Linked DNA regions of Notamacropus eugenii. The main gene of each other region encodes a partner of the protein of the gene in region 2 in a complex. Links are inferred from orthologs where the notes say so. Each region holds a gene or a part of one and is shown on either strand. Other genes may lie near its edges.

Evidence for each region.
Region 1: RBL1 (region 2) and E2F4 share a complex: the UniProt entries of both Homo sapiens proteins name them as parts of the DREAM complex. The link is inferred for Notamacropus eugenii from reciprocal best matches to the Homo sapiens genes RBL1 and E2F4.
Region 3: RBL1 (region 2) and TFDP2 share a complex: the UniProt entries of both Homo sapiens proteins name them as parts of the DREAM complex. The link is inferred for Notamacropus eugenii from reciprocal best matches to the Homo sapiens genes RBL1 and TFDP2.
Region 4: RBL1 (region 2) and LIN52 share a complex: the UniProt entries of both Homo sapiens proteins name them as parts of the DREAM complex. The link is inferred for Notamacropus eugenii from reciprocal best matches to the Homo sapiens genes RBL1 and LIN52.

The regions. Positions count from the first base shown.
Region 1 is NC_092872.1:695,050,124-695,058,243, reverse strand, and holds the start of E2F4 (transcription factor E2F4), read right to left. Parts: upstream 3,233-8,120; 5' UTR 3,120-3,232; coding exon 2,979-3,119; intron 1,426-2,978; coding exon 1,316-1,425; intron 1,122-1,315; coding exon 960-1,121; intron 1-959. Other genes in the region: EXOC3L1 (exocyst complex component 3-like protein), read left to right, coding at 5,565-5,610, 6,202-6,365, 6,580-6,799, 7,413-8,034. UniProt on the Homo sapiens protein: Transcription activator that binds DNA cooperatively with DP proteins through the E2 recognition site, 5'-TTTC[CG]CGC-3' found in the promoter region of a number of genes whose products are involved in cell cycle regulation or in DNA replication.
Region 2 is NC_092872.1:427,722,316-427,730,509, forward strand, and holds the start of RBL1 (retinoblastoma-like protein 1), read right to left. Parts: upstream 3,341-8,194; 5' UTR 1,275-3,340; coding exon 630-1,274; intron 1-629. UniProt on the Homo sapiens protein: Key regulator of entry into cell division. Directly involved in heterochromatin formation by maintaining overall chromatin structure and, in particular, that of constitutive heterochromatin by stabilizing histone methylation.
Region 3 is NC_092877.1:330,407,430-330,414,930, forward strand, and holds the start of TFDP2 (transcription factor Dp-2), read right to left. Parts: upstream 3,093-7,501; 5' UTR 2,931-3,092; exon of another isoform or gene 2,918-2,930; intron 2,812-2,917; exon of another isoform or gene 2,561-2,811; intron 1-2,560. UniProt on the Homo sapiens protein: Can stimulate E2F-dependent transcription.
Region 4 is NC_092878.1:56,577,115-56,584,460, reverse strand, and holds the start of LIN52 (protein lin-52 homolog), read right to left. Parts: upstream 3,222-7,346; 5' UTR 3,177-3,221; coding exon of another isoform or gene 3,145-3,176; coding exon 3,114-3,144; coding exon of another isoform or gene 3,039-3,113; exon of another isoform or gene 3,020-3,038; intron 3,007-3,019; exon of another isoform or gene 2,779-3,006; intron 1-2,778. Other genes in the region: ALDH6A1 (methylmalonate-semialdehyde/malonate-semialdehyde dehydrogenase [acylating], mitochondrial), read left to right, coding at 3,039-3,176, 3,666-3,800, 5,625-5,684.

The DNA.
Region 1 (8,120 bases), about 270 Mb from region 2:
GGAGGCCTTTGCCTCCAATTCAATCCAGACATGTGACAAGCACAAGAATGAATGTAGGGTTCAGGCCATCTCTCAATGCCTACATGGTAGAGTCCCCAAGAAAATACTGATAAATTTAATCTGAGTGGAAAGAGGCACAATGATGAGAAGCCATCAGAAAGAGCCTCAGGTCAGGAAGGTAGGCTGTCAAATTAGACCAATGGCACAGGGAATGCAACACACTCCAAGGGAATGACAGGAAAGGGACTGGTTCTGGGACCAGCACTTGAGAGCTAGTGCCAGCCATGACTGAGGGATTCCTAACGCATGATGTGGTAGAAAGCACATGGTCCTGGAGTCAGGAGCCCTCGTTTTTAATCCCAGCTAAAACTTTTAAGTCAATTCTCTGCTCTGGAGCTCAGTTTCTTAATGAGTAAAATAGAGATAATGCTTTTTTACTACCTTCCTCACCGAATTGTAGGAAAAATATTTTACATCTGTATTTATACCCCAGAAAACAGGATCCATTAGTATTAGCATTATTACTATAGTTTACGTTCTTTTTTTAAAAACTATTCTGCTGCCTTCTATCTTTCTTCACCAACACCCCAAACCCTTCAGGGTGCGGCCTGACTGTATCTCTCCACGACTAGAACCAGCTCTTGCCTTGCCTTGCCCAGCCTAGATGGTTGTCTTCCTAATCTGTGGGCCTAGCAGCTCTGACACCATTGATCTAGCTGGGAATCACACTTTGGACACTTACAGTTTACTGCTTTGACCAAAGGGGCTCAACTCTTGAGCTTCAGAATTTTCCCCTTTGTTAAATGTAGATGATTCTTATACTACCAACCACACAGGACTGTTTTAAGAAAAGTGCTCTGTAAACCCTGAAGAGCAGCCATTAAATCTGAGCCAGGATAATGAATGTGGGGAAGAGGAGACAGAAGGAAAAGAGGAAGAGGGAGGTCCTGGAAGGATATCAGTTGTTCTGCACATCTTCAGTGACATTCCGGATGCTCTGCTGCACCCACACCTTGTGCTGGTCCAGCTCCTGCTCCCGCTGTTGAAGCTCCTCAATTTCAGCCTTCAATTCGATGAGCTTGTCTGCTATTTCCCTTGTGTTACAGCCAGGTCCCACACCCCTATGTACAGTCCCCAAGTGGGGAGAGGGGAGTGAGATGGTACCTACCTCCCCAGGGTACCTGCCCCTAGCGTAGACATCCATCCAGGGTCCAACACTCCATGAAGGAACCCTCTTCCTCCCACCTGTCTCACTCAATGAGGCTCCTCAGTCTCTCATGAGAATCTCTCCTGCCCTGCCTTCCCCAGTACTCACTTCCACTGGATACTGTTCTTAGACTTCTTTTCAATCAGCCCAATTCCTTCCAGGACATTCGTGATGTCATAAATTCTCCGCTTCTGCCGAACAGCCAAGGTATCTGCTGCCTATTGGAGGAAGAAAAGAGAGATGCTTCAATTTGTCCCCACGGTTTAAGCCAACACCAACTCCAACAGACTTCAGCAGGGCAGGCTCAGTGCAGCCCAGAGCCACACATGACATCTTAGGAAGTTAACTTTGGTCTCCAAACTCCTCCTTACTTCTGATGTCTCTCTGTACCTGTGGTTTGCCCTACTCTCTCCTATGGGCCTGAAACACCTTCCCCTGCCAGGCATGGTACAGTTCTCTTGCCCCGTGCTCCAAAATCCAGGTTTGTTCCAGCTTGCTTCTCTTCTAGAGACCCAGCAAAAGAAGGGCATCTCCGCAGATGGTCTCGCCCAGACCTCCCTCCTTCACCTGCCTTTTGCACTTTGCAGGGGTTCCTCCTCTCTCCATGCTGGTCATTGCTCCCCCCCCCCCCCCAGTCTTCAGTTCTCCCTTGTCTTGTTCAGATCTCCTCCATTCATGCTCTGATCTGACTCCCTCATCTCTTCCTCCAGCTGTTCCTAGGCTGTTGGTCCAATTTCCACCTTTCAGGATTCCCCCAAGACCCTCGTCTCTTGGACCTCCCTCCTCTCTTAGCAAGGATTTATGAAGCCCTGTACTAAGAAAAAGCAAAAAACAGTCCCTGCCCTCAAAGGACACGCAAATCACTACATAGGAACAAGCTACGAACTTGACAAACTGGAGACGATGAGCGGAGGGAAGGCATTAAGGTGGATCGGGAAAAGCTTTTTGTGCAAGGTGGGATTTTGGCTGAGACTTGAAAGATGAGAGGTGGCGACGAGGAGAACTTGCTTCCAATGACTCTGGGAGCCGCTCACCTGGGTACCCGCTGTGCATCCCCGGCCCTCGCTTCTCCCCCCTGGTGCATCCCCGGCCCTCGCTTCTCCCCCGTGTCCGGCCCCGGCCCTCGCTTCTCCCCCTTGTGCAGCTCCGGCCCTCGCTTCTCCCCCTGGTGCATCCCCGGCCCTCGCTTCTCCCCCGTGTCCGGCCCCGGCCCTCGCTTCTCCCCCTTGTGCAGCTCCGGCCCTCGCTTCTCCCCCTGGTGCATCCCCGGCCCTCGCTTCTCCCCCGTGTCCGGCCCCGGCCCTCGCTTCTCCCCCTTGTGCAGCTCCGGCCCTCGCTTCTCCCCCTGGTGCATCCCCGGCCCTCGCTTCTCCCCCGTGTCCGGCCCCGGCCCTCGCTTCTCCCCCTTGTGCAGCTCCGGCCCTCGCTTCTCCCCCTGGTGCATCCCCGGCCCTCGCTTCTCCCCCGTGTCCGGCCCCGGCCCTCGCTTCTCCCCCTGGTGCATCCCCGGCCCTCGCTTCTCCCCCGTGTCCGGCCCCGGCCCTCGCTTCTCCCCCTGGTGCATCCCCGGCCCTCGCTTCTCCCCCGTGTCCGGCCCCGGCCCTCGCTTCTCCCCCGTGTCCGGCCCCGGCCCTCGCTTCTCCCCTGTGTCCGGCCCCGGCCCTCGCTTCTCCCCCTTGTGCAGCTCCGGCCCTCGCTTCTCCCCCGTGTCCGGCCCCGGCCCTCGCTTCTCCCCAGGGTCCCCCACTTCGGAGCCGGGCCGGGTCCGCACCAGTTTCAGGTCGAGGACTCCGTCCTTGGCCTCCTGCAGCAGCGACACAAACTTGGTCGTGAGCAGCCCCAGGCTCTTCTCGTGCCGGCTCGGGGTCCCGGGAGGCGGCGGCGGGGGCGCCTGCGGCCCGGACTCCGCCATGGCAGCCTGCCTCCCTAAGCCCAGGCCAGGCCGGCGCCCGCCGCCTGCCGCCGCCACTTCCGCTTCCGCTCGCCAGTGCCCGGCCGGCAGCCCCCTCAACACTTCCGCTCTGCACTTCCGTTTGAGCCCAGCTCTAGGCCTGCGCGTGCGCGCGTGCGCCCCTGCCGGTAGGCCTCCTAGCGTCTGGCGCCACCAGGGACCGTGTGCGATTCCCTTTCTCCCGGAGAGTCGCAGAATTCCAGGGGTCGTAGGAAAAAGCCCAGCCCTCACGGAGGGCGAAAACAACCCAGACTCGTCAACTACCAGATCTGGCGAGAAACTCCTGGGCATCGGGTCAGACCGCCTGAGTCACGGGCGGGGTGGGCAGAAGGCAGTTAAATGATGCAGTAGACTGGAGGCAGCAGGGGCTCTGTCAGTCAGTCGAGCAGCACTGATTAAGCACCTACTGTTTCCAGCACCGTGCCACCAAGACCTGAGTTCAAACGCAGCCTCCGTCCCTTACCACCCTTGTAACCCTACACGAGTCGCTTTACCTCGGCCTGCCTCAGTTTCCTAAGGTGTAAAATGGATATTATAACAATAGCATCTGCCTCCCAAGGTTGTTGTGAGAAAATTAAATATGGTTTGTAAAGTGCTTTGCAACTCACCATGTAAGTGCTAGCTGGTGTCATGCTTTTTTCCAGCTCCTAGAAAGTTTCCACTTACCTGTGGCTCCCACAACCACCTCTCTCCTACACCATCCCCCCGGGGCAGCTAGGTGGTGCAGTGGGTAGAGCACCAGTGCAGGAGTCAGGAGGACCTGAGTTCCAATCTCAACTCCAACATTTGACACTCACTGGCTGTGTGACCTTGGGCAAGTCACTTCACCCCCATTGCCTCATCCTGGGTCACCTCCAGTCTTATGGCTGGTAACCTGCACAGCCCTCCCTCACTCAAAACAAAGTCAAGTGCAAGTCATGATGGCATGGTCTTCTTTGGTAACAAAGGACAAACACACACAGCCATCATCTCTGAGGGCCACGGTGGATATCCTTAATGAAATGTTTGTTGACCCCTGCCCTAGTCCCTGGGATCTCTCTGGCTACCCTCCTCTCAGTCCACATTCCAATTCTGCGGTCCCAGACCTCTCACCATATTCACAGGTCCTGCTGCCCAAGTCTGCTTGCTGGGGGCTGGCCATGATGCCATGCTCCCGCCAGTCAAGATTCACACCCTTCCACTTATATGGCACATGTCTTGTATATACATTTAGGAATATGCATTAGAAAGTAAGGTACCTGAGGGCAGGGACCTGATTTTTTTTTTCCCCTTTCTTTGTTTCTCAAGTGATTAGCACCATGCTTGGCACAGAGTTAAGTACTTAATAAATGCTGGTTGACCCACATCCTGCTGGAGAGAAGAATATACTGGCACTCCATATGGAGGTAAAGATCAGCTATCCTCCTTCTATGCTGAGGTAGAAAAGGGTTCTTGGGGCATCTCTGCAGCTGGGTAAAGAGGCACTCCCCTTAGCCCTGGCTGAGGCATCTATACAGTCTGACCCATGCCCATAACAGGCCACTTCTCATGTTCTGTTCCACTAAATTTATCCAAACTTACCTGTCATGATACCCACCACCTGCTGCTGGATGACTCCACCCTGCCTTCTCTGAGATCTCTCCCCAACAGGGGCAGAGGCATAATCATCCCTAAGATCTTTTGCAATGGAAACCACAAGCAGGGAGAGAAAGGATTCACATACCAGAGAGGGATGGAGACAGAAGTGTTATCTGTCCCCTCTCCTCCCTTTCTCTTCTAGTTCCTGGCTATTTCCTATACCCCTGACTCCCACTAAGCCCCAGGAGGAAAACATAAGGAAGTAAAGAAGGTGGAGAATGGAAAGCATAAATCTACTGGGATCCATTGGGAAGGGAAGAGGTGGGTGCCCTAGGGCATAGAGTTGGGGGGGGGGCGGTCAGAAAGCCAGACTTTGATGAACACTGGAGGGCGCTAAGGGGCTAGGATGCTGCCACTTCCCTGGAGGGGGCATAGGCTGTAGGGTGTAGCTGTAGTATACACAAGCAATACCCTCAGCCCTTGCCCTATGATGCGGTTACCCAGGCTAGGGCTGGTACTCAGCGCTCTTCCCACCTCTCTTGTCTATCTAGACATTAGGGATCATACACAGGGCATTTCCCACAAGCTCCAGTGCCCACCCCTTCACCTTCAGTCCCTCCTCCACCCCCATCCCCCCAACACACACTCCTCCCTCCCATATCCTGAGTAGGCTGGGCAGGAACCGTGCTGCCCCAGAGGAGCCTGCCTGGAGAAGAATACGCTTTGGCTTTTAAGCTCAGCTGAGCCAAGCTTCCATAATCAAGCTTGAACCATCTCCCAACCCCCCAACAGCTAGGCTCAATTCCAATATCAGGCCTAGCACCCCACACACCCTTCCTTTACTAAGCCATGGGCATGGATACGGAGGAGGAGCAGGAATTTGGAGCCCCCCAAGGTAATGAGCCGATCCCCCTGGGGGTCACTCTGGGATGAATGAGTGGATGGATGGGTGGAGGAATGGATGGATGACCTCTGAGAGAAGTTCTGAACATCTGGAGACAGCCTTGGTGGGGAAGAGAGTGTGTGTAGTGGGGATGTTTTCCCAGGCATGGGCAATCAGCCACTTACCACCCAATAGAGGTAGCAAAGCAGAGTGGAAAGAGGATGGAGAACCTAGGTTTTTGTAGGCCATGCCATTTACTAGCTGTGTGATCTTAGACAAGCAACTTACATGACCTCTTGGGGCCTCAGTTTCTCATCTGTAAAATGAGGGGTTGAACTTAATGACTTTTCAGCCCTAAATACTGTGATACTTTGATATGGACCACATTGCAGTCCATAACAATATGGCATTTAGTGCATTTATAAAGTACCACTAAACCCGACCCCCACCTCAGCATTTGGGCAAACTTGGAGTGTTAGAAGAGGCAGACTGACCAGGTCAGGGCCCCAGATCCAGTGACTTCCTGTTAGGGACAAGGGATGGGAAACAGCTGTGGCTGAAGCCTCTTCCTGCCTCCCCCCACCCCACCCCTATCCACCTAAGCAGACTCTGAGTGGCCAGAACTAGAGAAGGCTGAAAGGTTGGCCAGAGGGGCAGCCCTGAAATGGGCCTCAGGCGTCTTCTACAGTCCCAAGCAGCTGACCAGGCTGGACCAATACCGAAGCCGAGAAGCCCAGAGAATGTGCTCCATCGAATCCCGAATCAAGGTGGGGCCAGGGAGAAGCTTGAATTTGGGGTCCCTAAAAGTCATCATCCATCCCTAGTCCCAGTCATTCCCATTCTGTCCTAGGCTCTCCCTTCCCTAATTCTGTCAAACGACCGTGCCCCACCCATATCAGATCATGCTCAGAGGGACCTTCTCTGCCCCCTCCATTGCAGGGTGCCATCTACCACTGACCTCTCCAAGCTCTCTCCCCACAGTCAACTGTACAGTCTTACTTGGAGAGTGTGCAGACAGGCCTTCAGCAACTAGGCCTGGCACTGAAAGAGGTCCAGGAGGCTGGGGAGGCCCTGGTTGGGGCCCAGGAGGCACTCTCGAAACAGGCTGAAGTTGCCCACACCCTGGGGCCTCTCCGGGAGCTGGCCAATCAGCATAGACAGCTGCAGGCGGTGACACTCCTACTGCCCCAACTCTTGGCAGGTGAGGTCCCATAATGTTCCTGGGTTTCATCAGGGGTAGGGACGAAGAGGCTCACCTTCGAGCTCACCTGATTCAATGCAGAAAAGAAAATGGAGACCCAGAGAACTTAAGTGATAGTGCAGCTAGGATTCAAACCCAAATCTTCTGACCTCAAATCCAGTGTTCTTTCTACTGGCCCATGTTGCCCTTGAGCACCAACCTTGGTCAGGCCACTTACCCCTTACCCAGTCGGTCAGTTTTCCAGACTGAACCAATGAGGGAGCTTGGGGAAAAGAAGTCTGTACTTTTCTAATGTATGACTGATCCACAAAGTGATCATGTAAATCAGCTACAAAGTCTGAAGAACCCTAAGGTTCTTTGAGGTTTGGTTTTGTTTCCTTGTTTTTTTTATTATTTTAAATTTCATTTTATGTTATTTTCATTTTCACATGGGGGTTTAATAAATGTTTGCAAGACTGAATTTCACCAGTAAGAAAACTGAGGCGCAGAGAAACGAAGTGACGTAAATATCCTGAAGTCACATAGCTAGTTCAGGACAGGTCTGAAGAAGTCCTGATGTCCAGCCCATTTCAGGACTGCTTCCTAACCTCCTGCTTCCTACTTCTCTCCTCAGTACCTGAGGCAGTGGCCAGAACCCAGGCCCTGATCAAAGGCAATCGATTCCTGGAGGCCTATGGGGTCCTACGGCAGCTGGAGCAGTTAAGGGATGAGGTGTTAGACCCACTTGGGAGACCTGAGCTATCCCTCTTTGAAGGTTTGACACCTCTCGGGGAGGAGCTGGGCCTAGCCATGGGGAAGGTGGTGGGTTCAGCTCGGCAGCTGGCACGAGATGATCCAGCCCTGCTAGTAGCTGCAGTTCGAGTGGCTGAGTTTGAGGAGGAAAGGGATATTCAGCTCCAGTCATCATCCCCTGGGCGCCCCCGAGCCTGGCGCCAGTGCTGCCTTGGGGCCCTTCGGAAGGCCCTTGAGGAAGCCTACTTTGAGGGACCAGCCCCTGGCCCTCCAGGTCTGGCAGGACACCTGGCTACTCTTCAAGAAGCTCTGCCTGCTGAACTGGCCCTGGCAGAGGCCCTGGTGGCTCCCTGCTGCCCTGGAGATTACAGAGTGGTGAAGCTGTGGGCCCACACCTTGCACCAGGGCCTCTGCCAGCACCTGCAGCAGCTTCTGGACCATGAGGACCTGGGCACCCAGGACATCTTCACACTGTTGCACTGGGCCCTGCATATTTACCCAGGGTCAGTGCCAGGCCAAGGGTGGAGAGGGTGGGCAGGACAAGCAGAGGGAGGCTGAGGAGCTGAGAGTGAAGGCAATATCTCATAGC
Region 2 (8,194 bases):
ACAGTTTGCCCGGCAATGTGCTAAGTGATGAGGACATAAAGAAAAACAAAACCCAGCTCTCCCCCCCACCCCGCCTCTCTCCCCCTCCCACACCCGTCTCAAGGAGTTGGGGGGGCAGGGGAAAGACAACCTGCTAACAACTGTGTACAAATAGGACAGATACAGGATAAACTAGGGTGGTCTCAGAGGAAAGCCTAGGAAAGCTTTCTTGCAGCAGGTGGGACTTTAGCCGAGTTTAGAAGGAAGCGGGGTGAGGGGCTCCGAGTGGGGAGGTGGGGGGTCCAGGGCAAGGAGGAGCCAGGAGGAGGGCAAAGTCACTCTGGAAGGGCTGACAGCACAATAAAGGTTTGGGAGAAAAGCGGGCGGGGCTGGGCGGGCCCAGAAGCCCGGACTGCAGCATTTAAAGGGCTGTCAGTCGGAGGCGGGAGGGGGAGACGTTGCCCCTCTGCCCCCCTCCCTCCGCCCGGGCAGATCCGGAGCCCCAGGGCGGTGACAGCGGTGGACTTCGACTCTCCAGCCCGAGTGGTTCCAGCGGGGCCAGGAGCAGCGAGCGGGGGCCCGCGGGCCCGGGAGGGGTGGGGGCGGGGGGCGCAGGCGCCTCCTCCCCGGCCTCGCGCCCTGGCTCTCACCTCCAGACTGTAGGTGCTGCGGATGGCCATGAAGTCGCCCAGGGCTTCGGCCGCGCTGCCCTCGTCTAGGTTCAGCTCCTGACACAGGGCCTGCAGCGCCTCCCGGGCGGCCCCAGCCCCGGCCGCCCCCAGGCTGCGCAGCTCGTCCTGAAACATCCCGCCCGTGGCCCCGGGCTTCGGCGGCCGGCGCTCGGCGCCTACGCCGCCCGCGTCCGCCTCACACTCCCGGTGGCCACGGCTCCCCCACAATCCCCCGCGCCAAAGCGCGCGAAAACTCTGTCCCGGAAAGGGGCGGGGCCTTGCGGAGCTGCGTGACAGCCCCGCCCTTCGAGTCCCTTCTCTCGGGGGCCGGCTCACCTCCCGGACCCCTCCTGCCTCCGTCCGAACACTGCTGGGAAGAGGGTTTCGGCCTGGGAGGTAGCCGCTGGTCTGTCCAAAAAGTTCAAACTGAGCTTCTGCTCCAGGGCCTGTCGGGAATTGTAGTCCGCATCCTGTCGTGGCGGACGGGAGGGGGAGGAGGACCGGCATGTCCGGGCTGCTGGAGCCCCCTGAACCGGACCTCGTGGGCTGAGTTTCTCCCACCCGCCTGGGCCCCCCCTGCCGAGATCCTTCTCCAGGGGTGCTAACGATAGCTCCAGAGCCCATTGTGGGCGCTTACGTCGAGGACGGCAAACGGGTTTGGTTGAGTTGAGAAAGTGATGGAGAACATACGAATAACGTAGATTAAACTAAAAGTGTGTAGGGAGCCCCCTCGCCCTCCCAGCGCATCAGCCCGTCCTCCAGGCCTTCCAGGCAGCTTCATCCGTGCGCCCCGGGGCGACGATGCCTCGGCCGGGACGCTGATCCTCTTGTGTGTCACGGACCCCCTTCTCAGAACGGGAAAATAATGCGAATTTCAGGTGAAGAACTGCAGTCCTCCACTGTCTTCGTCCGAGGATGGGAGACAAGGGAAAATGAAGCACAGGAGGACGTTGGAAGCCCGGGGGTGGGGAGGGGTTTGCTTTGTTTTTGTTTTGTTACCTGAGCAGGAGTTCGCTCTGCGGGGTCCACCCCCACCTCTGACCTCCAAGTGGAGCCTGCCAGGCGCAGAGACCTCGCCATCTCCCAGAGGGGACCGTTCGAGAGTTGGAAGCCCTAAATGAACACTCTTTACTGAACCAAAATCCGCCCTCCAGCTTCTTTAGGTCGGTCCAGATTTCATTTTCTTTGTTAAAAACAAAAACAAAACAACACTGATGAAACTCCTCGTTTTAAATTTTCAAACTTTACATTCTATTCTATATAATCATTATTCTTATTTTGAAATCCAAAGGATCTGCAGCCAATGACGAGTCGCTGAATAATAGGTAGCATTTACATATCGCTTTTTAAGGTTTGCAAAACCTTATCTCATTTTATAGGTATATGTGGATATTATGTGTGTATATACATAAATATATGTAACGGTGTGGCACCTATCTGTATGTTAACTCATTTGAGTTAGGTGCTATTATCATTCCCATGGTATGGAGTCAGTTAACTAGCATTTATTAAGCACCTCCTTTGTTCTGGGCACTGCTAAGCACTGAGGACACGAAGAAAGACATAGTAGTACCTGGTCTCAAGAAGTTCACCTGGGGAGGGGAGCAGAAAACACAACAGCCATGTATGAATATAATATATGCAGGGTAAATTGATGATCTCAAAGAGAAGGTCCTAAGATTAAGGAGGATTAGGGAAAAATTCTTGAAAAAGGTGGGATTTTAACTGAGACCAGAAAGAAACTCGGGAAGCCGAGAGGCAAAACTAAAAGAGGAAGGAGAGCATTTCAGGAATGGGAGACAGGCAGTTAAAATGCTCAGGAGTCATAGAGTATGTATGGGGGGATAAGGTGTAAGAGGACTGGACAGGCAGGAAGAGGTGGGGTTTTGGAGGCCTTTCACAAGCAAATGAAGAAAATGAGAACAAGAGAGGTTAAGTGACTTGCCCACAGTCACTCAGCTAGTATCTGAAGCAGGCTTCAAGTTCAGATCAATCCAAGTCCAGTGCTCCAAGACCACTTGGCTACCTCCAAATCAAGAACCATAAGATTTAGGGACCAACTCCTTCAATTTACAGATGAGAACTGAGGCCTCAAACTCAGAACTGAGGACATCAAAAAGTTTGTAAGCCATAGAGTTAGGATGTGAAAACAGGACCTCTGATTCCAGGTCAGATCTTTCCCCTTATCTCAGACTTTATCTTAAAGGAGTTGTTTAAAATGAGACAGCGATGCTTTAAAGGCTGATTATTTTTACCCACGATATAGTGAAGGTGGACCCAGGAAAAATCACGTAGAAGGTGAAGAGGAAATATTTGACCAACTCTTAGCAGCTACTTTCAAATCACTGTCCCTAATTGAAAAGCAATTTGATCTTCCCTGCTCCATAGCATGCAGCTAGTGGTAAAGTGGATAGAGCACGGGCTTAGAATCGGGAAGATGCATCCTTATAAGTTCATGTCTGGTCTCAAACACTAGCTGGGTGACCCTGGGCAAGTTACTTAAGATCATTTACCTCAGGTTTCCTCATCTGTAAAATGAGCCAGAGAAGGAAATGGCAAACCACTCCCATATCTTTACCAAGAAAACCCCTTATGGGGGTTAAACTTATGAGAGTTAAACACCATTGAAACAACTCAACAAAGACAACACTCTATGGCAGAGAATAAAAAAGAAAAGGAACTGAAAAACAAAAGAAAATCAAAGGATGCACTGCTAGACCTGTCAACTAGAAGGATCATGGTATCCATTTAAGAAGAGACTAATTGGAGTAGGGAAATTCTTTGCAATTTTCATGTAGGTATCTCTCATGTTTTCATTTCATCTAGACTGCAACTACAAGATAATGTGGTTCATAAAAATGAACCAATTACAAAGGAAGCATTCCAACCAAAGATCCCAAACGTAACAGGAAATTTGAGTTTGTTTGTAGCATGGACTAGGTAAAGTATAGGGAGGAGTATGAAATAAAAATGAAGAGGTTTAGTGGTGCCAGATTGCTGACAGTACCTGACTAGGGATGAGTCAATAATAGTATGCTTACTCAATGAAATAGCTCCATTTTTCTTATATGTTGTCTTATATGTTACCTTTGACTTTCATTCACCCCCTGCCCTTTGTTATTATCAGTCTGATTCCTTTGCTATCTCTAAAGTTCATCTACTCCATTGATCTCTGCTTGTGACCATCACACAAGATGAAGAACTGGATGGATATATGCTCTATGGTTTCTCCTACTTCTTGCTGGTCACTGGTCTAGGAAAAAAAGGCCCTCCAGCAGTCTAGAGCTAAGCTATTCAGCCTTGGAATGAATACTGTGTAGAGCTGAGCTGAACTGAACTAGCTGAGAATGAGCACCTACAATATACCATCTCCCTCTATAATTAATACGGTCCCAGGTCTACATTGACCCTTGCCTTGACCATCAGGCAGGACCAAGGACATCTGCTCTGCTACCTCAAGTGTACATACCTCCCCATCCCCTGCCTTCTTCTCAAGGACTGATAATCAAATACATTACTAGTATTGCCTTATGACAATATCTCTGTGCTTCAGTTGGGTGAGTATGTTGAAGTTTCTCTCACTATAGCTCCATGCTCCCTCATATCCATCCATGTTAGCCCTAACCAAAACTCTCTGGAGTCATTAGTCTATTTTTTTCTACTTTTCTATTGTACTCAGTCAACTGTTGGTGCAGTGGATAGAGCACCAGACCTGGTGTCAGAAATCCAGCCTTCGACTCTTACTAGCTGGGTGATTCTGAGTAAGTCACTCAATCTCTATTTCCTCAACTGTAAAATGGTAATAATAATAACACCTACCTGGCAGGGTTGTTGTGAAGATCAAATGAGATGATAATTTTAAGAGCACTTAGCATGAGGCCTCGTCCATGAGAGGTATCACATAATTACTTGTTCCCTTCTTCCCACTCTAGAATTCCTGTCTTATTTTTTCTAATTTTTCTTTTTAAAATTTATTTGTTTGCAGTTTTCTACAATCACTTCCATAAGTCTTAGATTTGCTCCTCCTCCCTCCCCACTCCCTCCCCAGACAGACAGCATGCAATCTTATATGGGTTCTACCCATACATTCTTATTAAATACATTTTCATGTTAGTCATGTTGCATGGAAGAATTAAAATGAATGGGAGAAGCTATGAGAAAAACCCAAACAAAACAAAACATAACACAAGAGAAAATATTCTACTTCATTCTGCTTTCCAATTTCATAGTTCTTTCTCTGGATGTGGATGGCATTTTGCCTCAAGTCCTTTGGGAATGTTTTAGGTCCTTGCATTGCTGTGAAGGTTAAGTCTACCAGAAAAATTCTTTGCACACTCTGGTTGTTACTATGTACAATGTTCTCCTGGTTCTGCTCCTTTCACTCAGCATCAATTCATATAAGTCCTTCCGGGCCTCTCTGAAGTCTTCCTGTTCACCATTTCTTGTAGCACAATAGTATTCCATTATATTCATCTACCACAACTTGTTCAGCCATTCCCCAATTGATGGGCATTCCCTTGATTTCCAGTTCTTGGCCACCACAAAGAGAGCTGCTATACATATTTTTGTACATGTGGGATCCTTTCTCATTTTTATGATTTCTTTGGGATTCAGTCCTAGAAGTGATATTGCTGAGTCAAAGGGTATGCACATTTTTATAGCCTTTTGGACCTAATTCCAAATTGCTCTCCAGAATGGTTGGATCAACTCACAGCTCCACCAACAATGAATTAGTGTTCCAACTCTCCCACATCTTCTCCAACATTTATCATCTTCCTGTTTTGTCATGTTAGAGAATCTGATAGGTGTGATGTGGTACCTTGGGAACTCCTGTCTTATTGATAATGTTGTCCTTTATATTAGACCAATACCCCCTAGTACCTCAAATTTCTTTGCATATCTTTTATATTTATGTGTGTACATATTATTTCTCTCCAAAGGGCAGGAACAGCTTATTTTATCTCTTTAGTCCCCATACCTAGTACAATGCCTGGCCAGGTATGGGCCCTTCATGCTTGTTAAATTAAATAGGATCAGCTATTTCTCTTGATTTCTACCTCCATGCCATTTGGTTAAATTCTCACCTCATTCATCTTTTTGCCTTATAATCTTTTCCATCTCCTAATCAATCACATATCCTAATTTCAAGTTAAGCATTCTCACACTGATCAGCATACTCCCTGTTTAGGAATCCAGTCACTCCAAAGCTTAAACTCATCCTAGCCTGGAGGCTCTTTGCTGTCTGACTTCATTTTTTGGTATTCATATCATACTGTCTAGGTTGTAGCTGGGCTGATCTTCCCCTAAATATTACTCATACTTTTCCCTCTCCTTAGAATGGTTTCTATATCATCTTACTATTAGCTTTTGTTCCTTTTTTGACTCACTTTTCAGAATCATTCCTTACCTTGTTTTGAGTTCCTTAATACATACAGGTATATTAAAATCTATAACCTTTATAGTCTCTGGTTGATGGAGTTCTATTAGTCCTACTCTAACAGAATATAAGTTCCTTAAAAGCAGGATCTATTTCACAGTTATCTATAAAACCAGTTCCCAGCACATAGGTGCTTAATAAATGACTATGGATTGAGTTTGGTTGCTGCTATTCTCTTCTTGGGAAAGCTGCTTGAGAGTAGGGATTCTGTTTTTACATCATTATTATCCTTCTTTGGACCCCTCCCTCCCAGCATGGAGTACAAGTCTATGACAAATGCTTTAATAATCACATATAAAATGAAAGGGATTTTTCCATAAACACATTTTGCCTATTACCTTAGAGTTTGCTCATTTTATCTAATACGAGCTTAGGCTTTCTGAATAGAAAAGAATAATGAAACGAATCTACCCTTGCATGGACTCCTAGACCTAAACACAAGACAACATTATTCATCAATCACGTATATTGCTATGTTTATTTAAACCCTCAAGGGATATCTAATAGTGGAGTTAAATAGTTGCTGTTACCATATTTAATATTTCAGTGATCCTTTAGAACAAATGCAGCATTGCCCCTCAGAAAAATCCAAACACCTGACATTCCAACGGTCAAAAAGGGGCAGTTGATCTTGACAGGGGAGGGGGCCAGCCCTGGGCTCACCATTCTTGCTGGGAGAAGAAATTGGCTAGGTAGTTTTTGAGGGGAGGAAGCAGTAATGGGTTGCTTGGAAGTTAAAATTCTTGAGTTCTGGATCAACTTTTACTTACATATTTTGTAGTCTTTGAGCAGGAAAAAGATAAATTGAAGAGCACACAGACTTGAAAACAGTATAGTTGCATTTTTTTAGGTCACTGTCCAACAAATCAAAGGCCATCTCCAGGGGGTTATTTCTGGCTACTAAGATCTTCAAGTGACTATCTAGCCACAGAGGGCATAAAGATCAAGGTACTTCCCATCAGCATTTGCTATACTTAATTCCAAAATTAAGGAGGTAAACTTTCCTTACCAAAGCCTCAAACCCTAGCTTTGCAACAACAGGAGTCACTTAGACATAGGCCTGGTGTTTAATTTCATTTAAGGAGTCATTCTAAAAGAGTAAAGAAATCAGTGCCTGAAAGGGAATGTCAAGCTTTAAGATGCAACAAGCCAAATTATCCAAAAATTTCACTTTCAAGTACTTCAGACACCTCAGTTAAGAGGAGTTTTGGACACTTGTTATTTTAGGCTTTTAAAAAGGCTACATATATAAAACCTATTTCTTTCATTCTTTTCCTCTCATGCTAGTTTTCACAGCCAGGCAGTCAAGTTACTTCCTACCCCAAACTAAATTTAACCTAGCTCATCTTCCTTTATCACCACAGTTCTTTGACCTATCCCTTTTGTTCTTTGGATGAAAGTGGAAAAAAAAATGCTGTATAGCAACCTCTTGTTAAATTGCTTGAATTTACTGTAATGATTAGAATCAGGCATAAAATTAAAAGTGGGCCATCCTACATGATGTGTATGAAGCATTTATGTTTCAAGTATTTTACTGATGAGCACAGTCAATATGAAAACAGCACACACACTGGAGCTTCAGTAATATTGCTATTATTTAAGATATGAAGGCAGTGTCATCTCTCTTTAGGTGGTGAAAAATAACATTAAAATATAAATTTTCATATCTAAAAGCAAATTTATTTGTCACTAAGGTCTAGAAATTTTACATGCTAAGACACTTACAAAAGGGAGAGCAGCCAGTTTGTTCATGGTATTATATGAGTGAGTTCCATCCTGTACTTCCTTCAATACTAGAGTATTTTCACATATATGGCAACTGATCATAGTGAACATTTTATGGTATTCCAACAAATAAAAGTTTATTTCTTGAGAGACCTTGCTCAGTCAGGTGCAGATATGGATATTTTTAGAGCTTTTTCTTTTTGTTTTGTTTTTAACATAAATTTTATTTCATATACCATTGACAAATACATGAAGAGGGCATAAGAAATAGGAAAAGCAAACATGAGCTCAAAGGGAAATGACAAAAGATTGTAAATGACTGCACGTGACTGCAAGTGATCACTTCCTGATCATTAGCCCCATCCCAAAATGTCTTTAAGGT
Region 3 (7,501 bases), on a different chromosome or scaffold from region 2:
CTTTTCAAAAATGTCAAACATATTCTAAGATCTTAGTATTTAAAATGACACTTAAAGGATTTAAAGTAATACCCCAAGTATTTAAGATGATACCCGCATCAGAAATTTGCTTGGAACCCACACTTCCAAAACTTAATATTAATTCTTACTGCTTTTGCTGCTGACAAAATTGAACTGATATGATCAGCTAGTGTTCTACAAAACCAATACCAACCAAGGACATGTATCTTTATGAGGGAAAAAAATTTCAAATGCAAGTTATAAAACTCGTATTAATGAAAGAACCTTTTGAATTTTCAAGGGTACCAAATGTAAATGCTTTTTTCTAATCTAAATTACATCACTATCATCAGTCCTATTTATTATAGTTTTGGTAATAAGAAACCACTTTCCATTTATTAAGGCAGCAGAGATTTTTATCTGTGTATCTCACTTCTTGATTGTTTTTAAGTTCATATTTGAGGGCTTTAAGAATTCTGGCTGCAAAGGAAAAATCTACAGGCGTCCAGAAAGCCCTATTAAAAAATAGATACAAATTAAATGGCTACAATAACATAATACTACCTGCATGATACTGACTAAGCAATTATAACCTATTTGGGCCAACTTCCTCATCTGTAAAATGAGGGGCTCGATCTAGATAATTTCCTTCTAACAAATTTGTTTGCTCCTAACATCAATAGAGAAAATTGAAGAAGAATTTACTGAGTCTGTGAGACTTACGGGATTTGTTTTAAAATAGAAACAGTAGTCCTAAATCAGAGAAAAGGTTGCTACCTAAGTAAAGACATTAAGACCAAAATCTGGTTCCAGGCATAAGATCATGTAATACATAGCAAAAACTTAATTGTTTTGGCTGCAAAAGAATCTACAAAGCCTAAAGTTTCTTAGGCAAATGTCAAAACACTTTAGAAATGTCCACTATTTCATAATTATGAAATACAAGATACACATCCACAAAAATGTGTACTATACATGTCTCTTTTAAGATAACAGTTGTCTTAAAAACAGCACACCAACTTCGAAGAGAATCTAGGACAAATAACAGAAACAATCTGCATTTTGCTTTCCAACATAAGGTTTTGCTTTGCTATTTGGGAACATCACTGATTCTGATCTTATAGTATTTTAACACTGATAAATAACACTAAGTTCCTTTTCCATGGGAGTGGGAAGGTAAACTAGATGATCTCAAAGGTCCCTTCAAGTTATAAATTCTACAATTAATTCTACTATTTTCTTTAGCTGACACAGGATTTAGATACAACACATAACAGTAGAAAGTACACTGGATTTGGAATCAAAGACTCTAGATTCAAATCCCAGCTTTGTCATTTTCTCCCTATGTGACCTTGGGCAATTCACTGGTCCTAAGTTTTCTTATCTGTATAACGAGGGAGCTGGAATGGATGACCTCTAAGGTTCTTTCCACCTTTAAAATTATGACATGATCTATTATTTCCAGATTAGAGGCAGCCTGGTAAGAAGAAAAGAATACAAGGTTTGAAATCAGAAGAGTGAAGATCCTAGCAGCAATTTAAGCCATGCGACCTTGAGCAAGCAGGTTGTTTCATCTTTCAAGGCAACAGTTTCCTCATCTGTAAAAGGGAATGGATCTGAAGATCATCCTTCTTCTCTAAACCTCTATCAGACTCTAACTGAGAGACCAGCAAAAATGATAAATGGTACAGGAAATGATTTGAAAAGAGATCAGATTATGACTATAAGACTAAAGTTTATAGAAGGAGAAAAAACCCCAGAAACTAAGCTATTAACTTTTTCAGGGAGAGGAAGAACACAGGATTGAAGTACTTGGAAGGTTCAGTGATATTTTGGGAGACCTCAAAGACCCTGAAAAAAGGAAAGGGAATTCAAGTTTACATATTGATAACATCTGATTCATTTTCCATGGGAAAGGGGGTAGACAAGATACATAACCTTTGAGGTCCCTCCCAGCTCTGAATTCTCTGATAAAGCTCCGTGGAAAAGATGGTCCAATCTATAGATCTCTAAAACAGTTACCACTGGGGAATTACAGTTGTTGAGAAAAAGGTGAACGCAGGAATTAAATTTAAAAGCATAGGAAAGGATAGGGGGGAACAAAGCGAAAGCTTCAGTTTGGATAAATGCCTCCGACTGGTGGTCAGCACGAGAAATGGGACGCTCCACGATTCTCGGGTGGGGAAGTGCCTCTGGAGGAGCTACAAGATCTTGAGCTGGGGTCCTTCACCCCAGAAGGCATCGAAAAGCCAGCAAAGTCGCTCTCCTGCCGGGGGTGCCCCCCACAAATGGGAGGGTGTCCCGGTCCAGCTCTCGGCCCCCGCGTAAGCACCAACACGTAGGTTCCTGCGTCCCGCTCCGGGGACGGAAGGGACAGCGCGCGTGGAAATAAAAGAGGGGAAGCCTCTCGAGAGGGGCACGTGGGGGGTTCCCCAGTCATGAGGGAGGGGTGAGAGCCAGGGGCTCACTTCCTCGGACCCCGCCCCACCCACCCACGGCAACCCCACAGCGCTGCCGCGACCACGCGAGGACCGAGCGCTGGGGGGAAGGGGGACGTTACCTGCCGGCGTAGCCGTGGAGAAGGCGGCCTGAGGGGCTCGCGTCCGGCCCACGACGCGAAGGGGGCGAGGGAGCTACCCCGAGCCGCTGCCGCAGCAGCTCCTCGGCTGGACTGGGGCCGCCGGCGGTCTGCGGACTCATTCCCGGGGGTCCGGGGGCGAAGGCGCCGGGGCTCGAGAGCCCGCGAGACCGGCCGGCCGTGCGCACGCAGCCTCCAGCAGCCTCGTGCCCGCCCGCGCGCGCGTGCGCCCCGCCACCCGTGCGCGGCCCTGCTCCCCCTCCCACCCCGGGCTCTCGTCGCCCCCCTTCGCCGAGCGTCGGGAACAGCTGCCGCGCCCCAAGCCCGGCTCAGGCCCACCTGCTCCTCTCACCTCGCGGGCGGTCGGCCCCGGGGCCCGGATCAACTCTCCTCTCTCTTCCCCCGCGCGAGCTTTGGCGGGGGCTGGGTACTGCGCGCTCCGGTTGGACACCGGGCCGCGTGACGTCAGGCGCTGCTGCCCGCCGATTGGTCTGGCTGGCGATGCGTGCGGGGTGTAAACAAACCCCGCCCCCTGGCTTCCCAATGAGGGCGGGGAAAGGTGGGGTGGGCAGGGGGGCGGGGCCGAACGTCCCGCCCGAGCCCAAGCCACGAGGTGACAGCGGGAGGGGGAGGAGCCCGTGGCAGGGGTGGGGAGGGGTGGGGAAGGAGGGAAAAAGCGCTCTGGGGGTGGGGCTTGCATCAAACCCCGCCCATGGGGAGTGGCCGAAAGGAGCGTGGCCTGTGGCTAGCCCGGCCTCCAGATTTTCTGCAGGAAATTCCAGCCCCTTCCAAGGAAAGGGCCGGAGGCGCAACAGATGGCTCCGGGCCTGGAGTCGGAAAGACTAGTTCAAATCCCGCACATGTAACCCTTGAGTGCTTGCAAAGTGCCTTACAAATAACATCTCCTGTGATCCTCGCAGCCATCCAGGGAAGGATGCTCTTATTATGAATTATTATTCCTATTGACAGATGGAGAAACTGAGGCAGGCTTGGACATCCTGAGGCCGGGGTCTATCCTCTGCTGAAACCCCCAGCGGCCAGAAAGCACGTGTTGAAAGTCTGCTTACGTGCTAAGTGCTGGGGATGCACAGAAAGGTGGAAACCATGGTCCTGCCCTCAGTGAGCTCACTTTCTGATGGCAGGGTGAGTCCGCAAGGAATTATACATCCAAGACCTAGTTCTTCCTTCCCACCAAACTTCCCTATCTGAGCAGGTAAAACTTTCATTCCCAAAGAGGACCATGACATCAGGAAGATGTTGCCATGACTTGTAAGTGAATTGGATTTAAGAGATAGATCAGAATAGGCTAGAGATGGCCCAGCATACAATAGGAGACCTCCACCTTTCTTAACTTCTCTCAAATCATACCAATCCATTCACACCCCTGGGAGCCTGGAATGAGGCACCTACATAAAACCAATCCAAATAAGGAACCCCAGAGACAGGATTCAATTGTTGTTGAAAGGAAGTAAGTAAATCAGACTGGGTGAAGCAGTGATGAATGGACTTTGGATTTTTCCTCATACCAAGAAAGGGCATGAGGACAACATCAGGAGTAACTGAATCAGATTTTTAAGACCTCAGAAGCCAGGCAGACCAAGTTCCCACCGATGAATTCCCTCTATATAACAGTCCCCATGGGAGGTCCTTTAGTCCCCAGGAATGGATAACTCAGACACTGCAAGAGACTGGCCATTCCATTTTCATCAGCTCTAAGCATAACAAACGTGTTCCTTCTGTTGAGCTGAAATCAACCTCTCTGTAAATTCCTAGGTCTACCCTCCAGGGCAAGTTAATTCCTGGTTCTCAACCTTTCAGATGTTAGAAAACTGATCACATCTATCATATTTTCTTTTCTTCAGATTAAACACCACCTTCAAACAAACCTTCAGTCTGTTCTTTGTTTTTGTTTTAGTAAGATTTGCTTTTGAGTTTTTTGAGTTTGCCTCACTATCCTGGTTACCCTCTCGACTCTAGTTTATCAATATGTCTCTTAAAACATAGGTCTCAGAGCTAAGCATTCTTTCAGAAGAGAAATAAACAGGTAAAGTCAAGGGAGTTGAAAGCTAAATAATGGCAAATTAATGTCACCTTGAATAATTTTTAAATACACAAATCCTAAAGCAATCATTGCTTCATTAACAAAAACTAGAACATTTATAAGCCAATTCAATACAAGTATTTTTAATGTCCCTATGTGAAAGACACTATGCAAAATGATGGAGATGCAGAATATATACCCCTGGACCTCCACCCCACCTCCAGGACACACACTCTACTGAGAGAGTACTGTTGTTTCCTCTACTGGGAGAATACAACATGTACACAAGTAATTCAAGGAGGAAGAGACCCCTAATCACTGGATGAGGATAGGCTCACTTCACAGAGAAGATGGCAAGAAAATAAGGCTTCTGAGGGGTATGGATAAGGAGTGAACTGCAAATATGAGTGGCGGCTTGTGTGGATACATGAAGGCAGATGATAGAATGTTGCATCTGAAGAGCAGCTAATAGGCTAGTTCAGCTGGATCCTATATTACATAAAACAAGAAGGAGAATAATGTGAAATGAGGCTGTAGGACTGGAACCAAATTGTTGAGAACCTCAAATGCCAGGCAGAGGAGTTTGCATTCTGTACCAAAGGTCATAGGGAGCTACTGAAAGGTTTTGAGCAAAGGAATGACATGGCCATACTGGTACCTTTGGAAGATTATTTTGGAATCCTTGTGGAGAGTGGATTGAAGATGGGAGACTGGAAGTACAGAAACTAATTAGGAGGCTAACAATTTAACAATTGTGTAGGTGAAGTATGACAAAAGTTTGAACAAGACTATTGATACTTTGGAGAAAAAAAGAATAGAAGAGATATGGAAGTCAGATCCACAGGATTTGATGAGGATTTAGAAATGAGGGCTGATAACTGAGATTATAACCCAGATAATTGGGAGTCCAATGGTGTCTTCAAATGAAAAGGGGAAATGAGTGTGGGAGAAGAGAAGGCAGGCTTAGAGAAGATAATGATTACTGTTTAAGATTGTGCCTCAATTTCATTCAAAATCTGCTAAAGCCAATATTCTTTTGAGCAAAATAACTTGTAAAAAAAACTAACTTAAATATCTTTCATATAACTTACTCAGACACAATGTAAAATAAAAGGAACAGTGGAATGTAACAAAATTTCCATCTACTGTGTATCAGTGATGTGATCTGCCTATGAATTTCCATGACCTAAGCAGAGTAAACCATAAAAACCTGTAGTTGCTAGTTCCACAGAAAGTCAGTTCCTTCCAGGATAAAGGACAACTTACTAATGTAGTTTTTAAAAAAAAGACCCTGAAAACCTTTCAGGAAAAAGTAACTTGTGGAAGTTTTTCTGGGGGGAGGGGAAAGGAAAATTAATATAACATTTAAAAATTCCTAAATAGGTACCTAGTGCCAATTTTGGTCCAGTGATGGTAAAATTAGCTTCACAATTAATGAAAAAGGATTTTTTCCCTTTTGCCTTAATAGCCATTGCTCTCTTTTCCTCCTCATTGCTTTAATCAGTAATTATATAATGGGACAAGAAAAGAGAGATTTTTTTATGTCATTATCATCACTCAGATTTACACAGTACAATATGGCTTACTTATTACATTCTTCACAACCTGTTGAGGCAAGTGGTACAAATATTTTCATTTGCAGATGAGGAATGAGGCTGAGAGGAAATGATTTACTCAAATTCACATGGCCACTAATAAAAATTTATGCTTTCTCAGACCAAAATCCGTACTTTGTCCATTCCACCATGATTCTAGAGATGAGAACTTCAGTGTTTATTTTATATTATCCATGCCTAACCAAATCTACTTAAAATTAATCAGATAGGTATCAATAATGTTATTGTTGTTATTCAGTCATTTTCAGTTGTATCCAACTCTCTGTGACCCCATTTGGAGTTTTTCTTGGCAAAGATACTGGAGTGGTTTGCCATTTCCTTCCCCAGCTCATTTCACAAATGAAGAAACTAAGACAAATAGGGTGAAGTGACTTGCCCAGGGTCACATAGCCACATGTCTGAGGCCAGATTTGAACTCAGGAAGATGAATCAGCCTGACTCCAGGCCTGATGCTCTATGAATCATGGTACCATCTAGCTACATCAATAATGCCTACACTTCATAAAGTGTACTACCTATAAAGTATAAAATATACTTTAATAATATATGCTTAATAAAGTATACATGTATACTAATATATTCTACTAGTCAGCTCATATGTGTCCTGGCCCAGGGCTTTTTTATGAGAACAAAAATGTTTCTTCACTTCCTTTTTGTTTTCTAAGTCCCAGACCCACATTACCAACTAATTACTGGACATTTCAAACAGTGTATTCCATGGACATCTCAAACTTAACATATTGCAAGCAGAATTCTGCTGGGATTCCCCTCCACAGTTCACTAACTCTCACCATCATTGATGGATGACTAAATCAGCACTATCTACATGAAATGTTTCCTGATCCCCACAGGTGCTCAGGCACTCCCTCACAAAACTACCTTATACTTCAAGTATTCAGTGTGTTATGTATATGCTTAGAAACCACCATGTTATGTATTTATTTAGAAACAGCCATGTCATCTCTCTCATTAGAATTCAAGTGCTTTCAGAGTAGGAAAAGTTCAAGTGTGCCTTTCTATTCCCAGCTCTTAGCACAGTGCCTGGTGCACAATATATATTGCCCTACATGTAGGTCCTTTTCCCTTTTATTTTTTAACTCTTTTTGGATACAGACCCAGTTGTGGCACTGCTAAGTCAAAAGGTATGCATGGTTTTATAGCCCTTTGGGCATAGTTCCAAATTGCTCTCCAGAATGGTTGAATCCACTCACAACTCCACCAAGGGTGCATTAATGTGTCATTTTTTCCTCCAGATCCCCTCCAAAA
Region 4 (7,346 bases), on a different chromosome or scaffold from region 2:
ATGCTCCATGCCTGGAGCAAATAATATGCCTTATTTGAAAACTGGCCCTGCCCTGATCAATCAGGTATTGTTTCCATGTTCCTTTGATTGTTTATAGACAACTTGGGAAGAGTGGGATACTTTTTTCTGATTTCAGAGAATTGCACCTATTTGCTTTCCCCTCCCAACATCCTTCCTCTAAATAGAAATCAGATTACCTAATTTTGTATCATGGTTAATTTTCTTTTAATTAATTGGTCTCATAAGATTGTTTTTAATGTATAAAAGCCTGTCTCCCCTTGGAGTTGGGGTTCCATGCCAAAGTTGAGGAAAGTAAATGGTACCAAATTGTTGGGCAATTAAGGATGCTTATTAAAGGAAGCAATTAAACTGATATGCTCAGGAAAAAAAAAAAAAGAACTCCACTCTTCTAATCACCCAGAGTCATCCTCAACTGCAACCTCAGAGTAATCCTAAACTCTTCATATTCAGTCACATTCAAGCAGTAGTTAATTCTTGTGGATTCTACCTCTTTAACCTGTCTCCTAGCACAGTAAATAGAGTGCCAGGCCTAGAGTCAGGAAGATGAGTCTTCTTGAGTTTAAATCTGGCTTCAAACACTTCCTGGCTGTAACACCCTGGGCAAGACACTTATCCCTGTTTGTCTCAATTTCCTCATCTGTAAAATGAATTGAAGAAAAAAATGGCAAAGCACCATCTTGGCCAAGAAAATCACAAATGGGGTCACAAAGAGTCAGACACAACTGAAGGACAACAATAAAAACCTCTCATATCCATTCTCTCTTTTTCTTCACATCCTAACTACCCCAGTGCAAGCTTGCTTGTCATCACTTGCCTGGACTACTGCAACAGCTTCCCAATTTGTCTCCCTATCTCTTATTTCTCTCCTCTCCAATGAATCTTCCATAATGCTGACAAATTTATATTCCTAAGACATTGGTCTATGTCATGCCACTGCTCAAAAGTACAGTGGCTCCCCATTTGCCTTGAGGATAAAGATGAAACACCTCTGTTCAGCATTTTACAACCTGGTTCCAGCTGGCTTAGCCTACTTGCTATTCCTCATAAATGGTATTTGATCTCCTGCCTCTGCACCTTTGCATAGTCTATCCCCTTATCCCTAGTATTTTCTTTCTTCACCTTTGCCCCTGGGAATCCCTAAATCCCTTCAAGACTTCAAGAGGCCAGGGAAACACAGTGATCAAGACTGTAAATATGACTGGGATGAATTCACACTTAAAATAGAAGCAGACAGCAGAATAGATTAGAAATGTGAATCCAATATGTTCTTTAGAAGAGACGCATTTAAAATTAAAGACACAGAGTTAAAATAAGGGGCTGGAGCAGATGCTATTATGCTTCATATGAAATTTAAAAAAAGAGGAGTAACAAACAGGACCTCAGACAAAGCAAAAGCAAAACCAGAAGATATAATCAGGGAAACTACATTTTGCTAAACAGTACCATAGAGAATGAGTAATACCAAAAGTTTTTACAGCAAGTTTTCTGCTAACGGCCTCATTTCTCAACCCTATGGGGAACTGAGCTAAATTTATAAAAATAAGAGCCATTCATCAAGCAGTTATCAGAAGAAATCAAAGCTCTTAACAGTCATTTGAAAAAATGTCCCAGATCACAATTGATCTGAAATGCAAATTAAAAGAATTCTGAGGTACCACTTTATACCTATCAGATTGACTAACATGACAGAAAAGAAAAATGACAAATGCTGGAGGGAATGTGGAAAATCAGGGACGCTAATACACTGTAGGAGGATTTGTGAACTGGTCCAACTACTCTGAAGAACAATTTGGAACTATACTTAAACAGCTATAAAACAGCATATTCTTTGACCCAGTACCACCGTTATTAGGTCTGCAACCCAAAGAGATCAAAGAAAGTCAGAGAACCTATAAGTGCAAAAAATATTTATAGCAGCTTTTCTGAGGTAGTGGCAAAGAATTTGAAATTGAGGCAACGCCCATCAATTGGAAAATGGCTGAATAAGCTCTGGTGTATGATCGTAGGGAATAGTGTTGCACTCTCAGAAACGACCAGCTGGACGGTTTCAGAACAGCCTGTGAAGACCTATATGAACTGATGCAGAATCAGATCAAGGACACAGGAACAGCAGCACTGAAATGAGGATCAGCTGCAAAAGATATTCAGGGTCGGGGATCCTTCAGCCTCCAGCCACAAGTGGCCCTCTGAACCCTGATTAGCTACTCCCACCAAGACCCTCTGGACTGGGGTGAAAAACGCTCTCCACCCCCAGAACTGACGAATTCTGAGGGCAAACCGGAGTACACATTTTTTCACCTTATTTTTCTTGGGTTTTGGAGATATGGCTAATATGGAAATGTTTTGCACAATCTCACATGGATAACGGATATCATTTCGCTTCCCTTCTCAATGGGGAGGGGGCGCCGGAGGAAGAGAGGGAAAGGATTTAGAACTCAAGAAATATTTTGAAAAGAATGCTAAAAATAAAATTTTTAAAAAGTTCTTATAAAAGAGATGTAGCCCCGATCTATCTCCGCGGCTTCTCCTTTCTCCAGTGAAATGGATCAACTGCTAGTGCCAAGGCGGCCGAATCTGACTGAAGGCACACTTTGGCGGCGCAGGGTTTCTTCTACAAGTTAGCAAGCCCGGGTTCTCCATCTCGTGAACCCTGCCAGCTGGGGCCTCCTTTGCCCCGCCCCCTCCGCCTCCACGCCCGCCCCTCCACCCTCCACGCCCCGCCCCCTCCGCCCTCCACGCCCCGCCCCACCCCCTCCGTCAGGCTTCTCTCCTTCCGACCCGCGGCACACCAGCAGGCTCCTCCGCAGGGCAAGGAGGGCCGCCCCTGCTCCGCCTCTCCGCCCCAGGAGTGTCTGCTCAGTCTGGCCCCTATTCCCCCGTCACCGGGGCTACTCCCTGCTCACCACGGCAAACCCACCGCGGCGGGGGGCCGGAAAGCTGGAAGTAGAGGAGGAGTCGGGATAGCGAGGAAAAGGAGAGACGAGGGTGGGTACTGAAGGTGGGGAAGGAAGCCTTAGATGGTAAGGAAAGGAGGTTCCCGGGAGAGGAGAGAAGAAAAACTGGGAAATCGTAGGCTCTTAGCCGGCTCCTACCGTCTGTGGGAGACGCCATCTTCCGACCCATGTCACGTGACACAGCCAACCGTCGGCGGGAAAGTGAGCGGCAAGCACCGCCCCTAGAACTTACCCAGGCCCCGCCCCATTCCTCCTGCCCCAATCAGTGAGACCGATGGCCTAGCACCGCCCCATGCCTTCCCCTCCCACTCGTTTCCCCCTCCACCCCTTCGCCACACTCCCTGACTTAAGCCGACCGGGGCCAAAATTCCCAGTTCTTGTTTACATTCCTCCCCTCCGGGAGGCGGGGCCGAACTCTCGCCCGGTGGCCAATCCGAGCTCCCCGTAAGGAGGCGTCTTCATTCCGTGCTGGAGGCCCGAAAACAAGGGGGCGTCTTCCCCTCCTCGACCAATCGAAGCAGCCTAGAGGGACGGAGGGGGGATGGGGGCGCGGACCGAATTCTCCGTTTGGGATCCGCGGCTTACTTTCCCCGATGAGCCTCGGCGGACGGGGGTGGGGGCGTGGGCGTGGAAGGAGGCCGCGCTGAGTGATTGGCCGGAATCAGGGGCCGCCTCCTCCTCCTCCCCCAGGGAAAGGCGAGTGAGGCGGGGTCAGGTGGCGGTCTGGCTGGGAAGCGATCCGGTGACGGGCTGAAGCTGGCGGCCATGGCGGGAGTAACGGCGGCTGCGGCGGCGGCGGCGGGCTTGCGAGCCCGCGTGCTTCGGGTGAGAAAAGGCGGGGAGCCTCTGGACAGACTGGGCTCCTGCCCGCGTCCAGCGCCGGGTCTGCGTCCCCGGGCTCCAGCCCCCCCACTCCTGACGATCTCGGCCGGCGGCCAGCCCACCTCTGGCGCGCGAGACCTGATGGTTTTTACCCTGGCCTTGAACTCCTCTTCGCCGGCCTGGTGACTGTGCCCCTGTGGGGGCGCCCTGCCCCGTGAAGAACGGGGAGTCTTCAGCCGGGGTGCAGCGGCGGGCGGCTCGTATGGGTTTCCCGGGTGATCCTGTGTGTGTTACCGTACGCCTTTTGAAAGCGTCCTGATGAGGAGTCTGGAGGCTTTCAAAGACGGCCCTGGGGGTCCCTGAGGCGCAGCCCCCCCTCCGGCGCCCGGGCTGCCCTCCGAGCTCCGGCGTTGTTGGGGGGTGCCTTTGGCCGCAGAGCTCCTTCCTCATCTCTCTGCATTTTGGGGGCATTCTGTTAACTTAGCATTCCAAGTGCAGGCATTTCTGGCTGGACAAAGTGCGGCCGGGCCTTTAAACGCACCCTTACCCCAGTTCCGTGGAGGCTTTGGTTTTCGTGCTTTCTGTAGTTTCGGAGTGTAAACGCTTCCAGCTAAATACGGCCTTCCTCGGAGCAGACAGACCGTAAAGCAGAACCAGCCAGCACGGGGACAAACTGAGTCAAATGTTCCATCTTTTTCCGGTTTTTCTGGTCTGATAGGTTTCTTCCCAGATAACCCTACCTGGGTTTATGTCATAGCTTTTTGCTCTTTGTCAGTCACACGTTCCAAGATGAAGAGGTTGATTCTCAGAATCTAATTTGGCACCAAATCCTCTTTATTGTCAAGATTGGATCTAGAATAGCATTTCCTTTCACTTCCTTCCATTTTTGAAAAATGAAATTATCTTTAAGACATATCGTGTTCTTAACAATTAGATTCAGAAAAACTGATGAAGAAAGTAAACAGACAAGGAGAACTGTCAACACAATGACTTCAGTAATGTAAAGGAAGGTCATAATAAATATGAAAACTTCGACCAGCGAAAGGACCCCAAGATGACTGGGTGATTATGAAACACATCTCCTTGGTAGAGAATGAGGTGGTTCTGATCGTTATGGTGGTTTGGTTTAACTTTTTTGTTGCAAGCTACGGTTCTGCTAGACAGTTACTGGAAAGTGAAAATGTTTTTAAAAGCATCAATAAAACTTTTTTTTCCATTTTAGCACCTGCTCTGCTCTAGCTGACTACTTTAGGATACATCTAGATGAAGATAGTAACATAGTTAACATCTATATAACTCTAAAGGATCTGTCAACATCTTTACATATTTAATCTCATTTGATGAATGAGGTCTTTTACTACTAATACCTTCGTGCCATGTTTATGATCTCTTCCTCAAGTTTATCATTTGTACCCTTCTACTTGAATATGTTCCCATCCCAATGTTTTTAAACTCCGTTGATCTTCACCCAAATGTTCTTCACCATTATTTCCTCTTGTCTCACTTATGAATTCTCTAACTTAAATGTGTATTCTTAGTATGGAGTGCTTTCATAAGTGCCTCTTAGTTAATGTGTTCCTTTTGAATAAGGTATACCCTTCTGTTCCAATGTTCTAATCTTTAATACTGTCCTACCAACTCTCAGTGATACTTAGGAGCTTAAATCTAGCATTTTGCATTAACTAGTTCCTCTGTTATCCTTGATATTTTTTGTAGTATTTGGCTTTGTGGATATAACTGGCCTGTTCTCTCTCCACTACAGTTTTTCATTGAATTTCTACTCCAAAAATGATAAAATCTCCCTCTTTCTTTCTTTTGGTTTCATAGGTTTCTTCTAAGATAAACCCTACCTGGTACCCAGCATCCTTTTTTTCCTCATCTTCAGTGGTAAGTTCATGCTGGCAAAAAGGCCGGTTTATGGTGGTTGCTCTAGTTGATCTTTCTGATCCTTAGGAAAAGGAATTTCTTTTTCCTGTGGTATTGTCTCTTAAAAGGTATACCTACATCTATGTGTACAAAAATATATATAGCATCTGTCTTTATGGTAGCAAAGAATTGAAAATTGCAAGGATGTCCATCAGTTGGGGAATGGCTGAACAAGTTGCAGTATACGATTGTAATGTACTACTGTGCTTTAAGAAATGATAAGCAGGGGGAAATTAGAAGTAAACACTTTTGAAGAGGGACAAGGTCAAAAGAGAGAGAATAGAATAAATGAGGGGCAGTTTAGGATGGAGGGAAATATAGTTAGCCTTTCACAACATGACTTGTATGGAAGTCTTTTGCATAACTACACAGGTATAACCTATATTGAATTGCTTACCTTCTCGGTGGGGATGGATGGGGAGGGAGGAAGGGAGAGAAGTTGGAAGTCCAAGTTTTAAAAACGAATGTTAAAAATTGTTTTTACATGCAACTGGGAAATAAATACAGGTAATGGGGTATAGAAATCTATCTTGCCTCACAAGAAGAGAGAAGATGGGGATAAGGGAAGGGGGAGGGGTGTGATAGAAGGGAGGGCAGATTAGGGGAAGGGGTGATCAGAATGCAGAGTGTCTTGGGGTGGGGAGAGATGGGGCGAAAATGTGGTACTCAAAATCTTGTGGAAATGAATGTTGAAACTATAAATAAATTTTAAAAAAAGAAATGATGAGCAGGATGATTTCAGAAAAATCGGGAAAGTCTTAAACAAATGATACAGAATGAATTAAGCAGAACTAGGAGAACATACATAGTAACAGCAATATTGTATGATGATCAACTGTAAATGAAACTTAGCTCTTCTCAGCAATACAATGATCCAAGACCATATCAAGGGATTCATGATGAAAAAAGCTATCTTATTCCCACGAAAGGACTGATAGAGCCTGAATGCAAATCGAAGCACACTATTTTTCACTATTTTGTTTGAGTGGATTGTGTTTTTTTGGAGAGGGGAGGGGTCTGTTTTCTTTCACAATATGGAAATATGCTTTGCATGATTGCACATGGATGACTTGTATCAAATTGATTACCCTCTCAGGGAGGAGGAGCAGAAGAAGGGAGAGAATTTGGAACTTATTTTAAAAAATGAATGTTAACAATTATCTTTTCATGTAATTGGGAAAAAACTAAAATATTCAAAAAAATTTAAGCACCGTATTTCCAATAGTGTTTGATTAACTTATAGAGGCCTTTCAGAGCCTGAGCACAATATGTAATTTCAAAACATCTGCCGTTTCTGTCAGTTAATCAGAGGATCACAAAGAACCTTTTGAATTCATACTTTTCTTATCTTATGGTGAGTGGTGAGTATTACTGCCTACCCCACAAGAGACTGAGACTTGATTCTCTAGATACTTAATAGCTATGTGATTGGGCAAATCACTTAAGTTTCCTGTGCCTCAGTTTTTTCATATGTAATAAGAGTGGGCTGGATTAGATAGATTCTTGATTTCTTTTGGCACTAAATTTATGATTACATGATTCAGTGATTTTTGTTTCCACTACAAAGATCTATCATATTCCTAACAATTTTTAGGAAAAGAGATAATATAGTATGTCAACCTA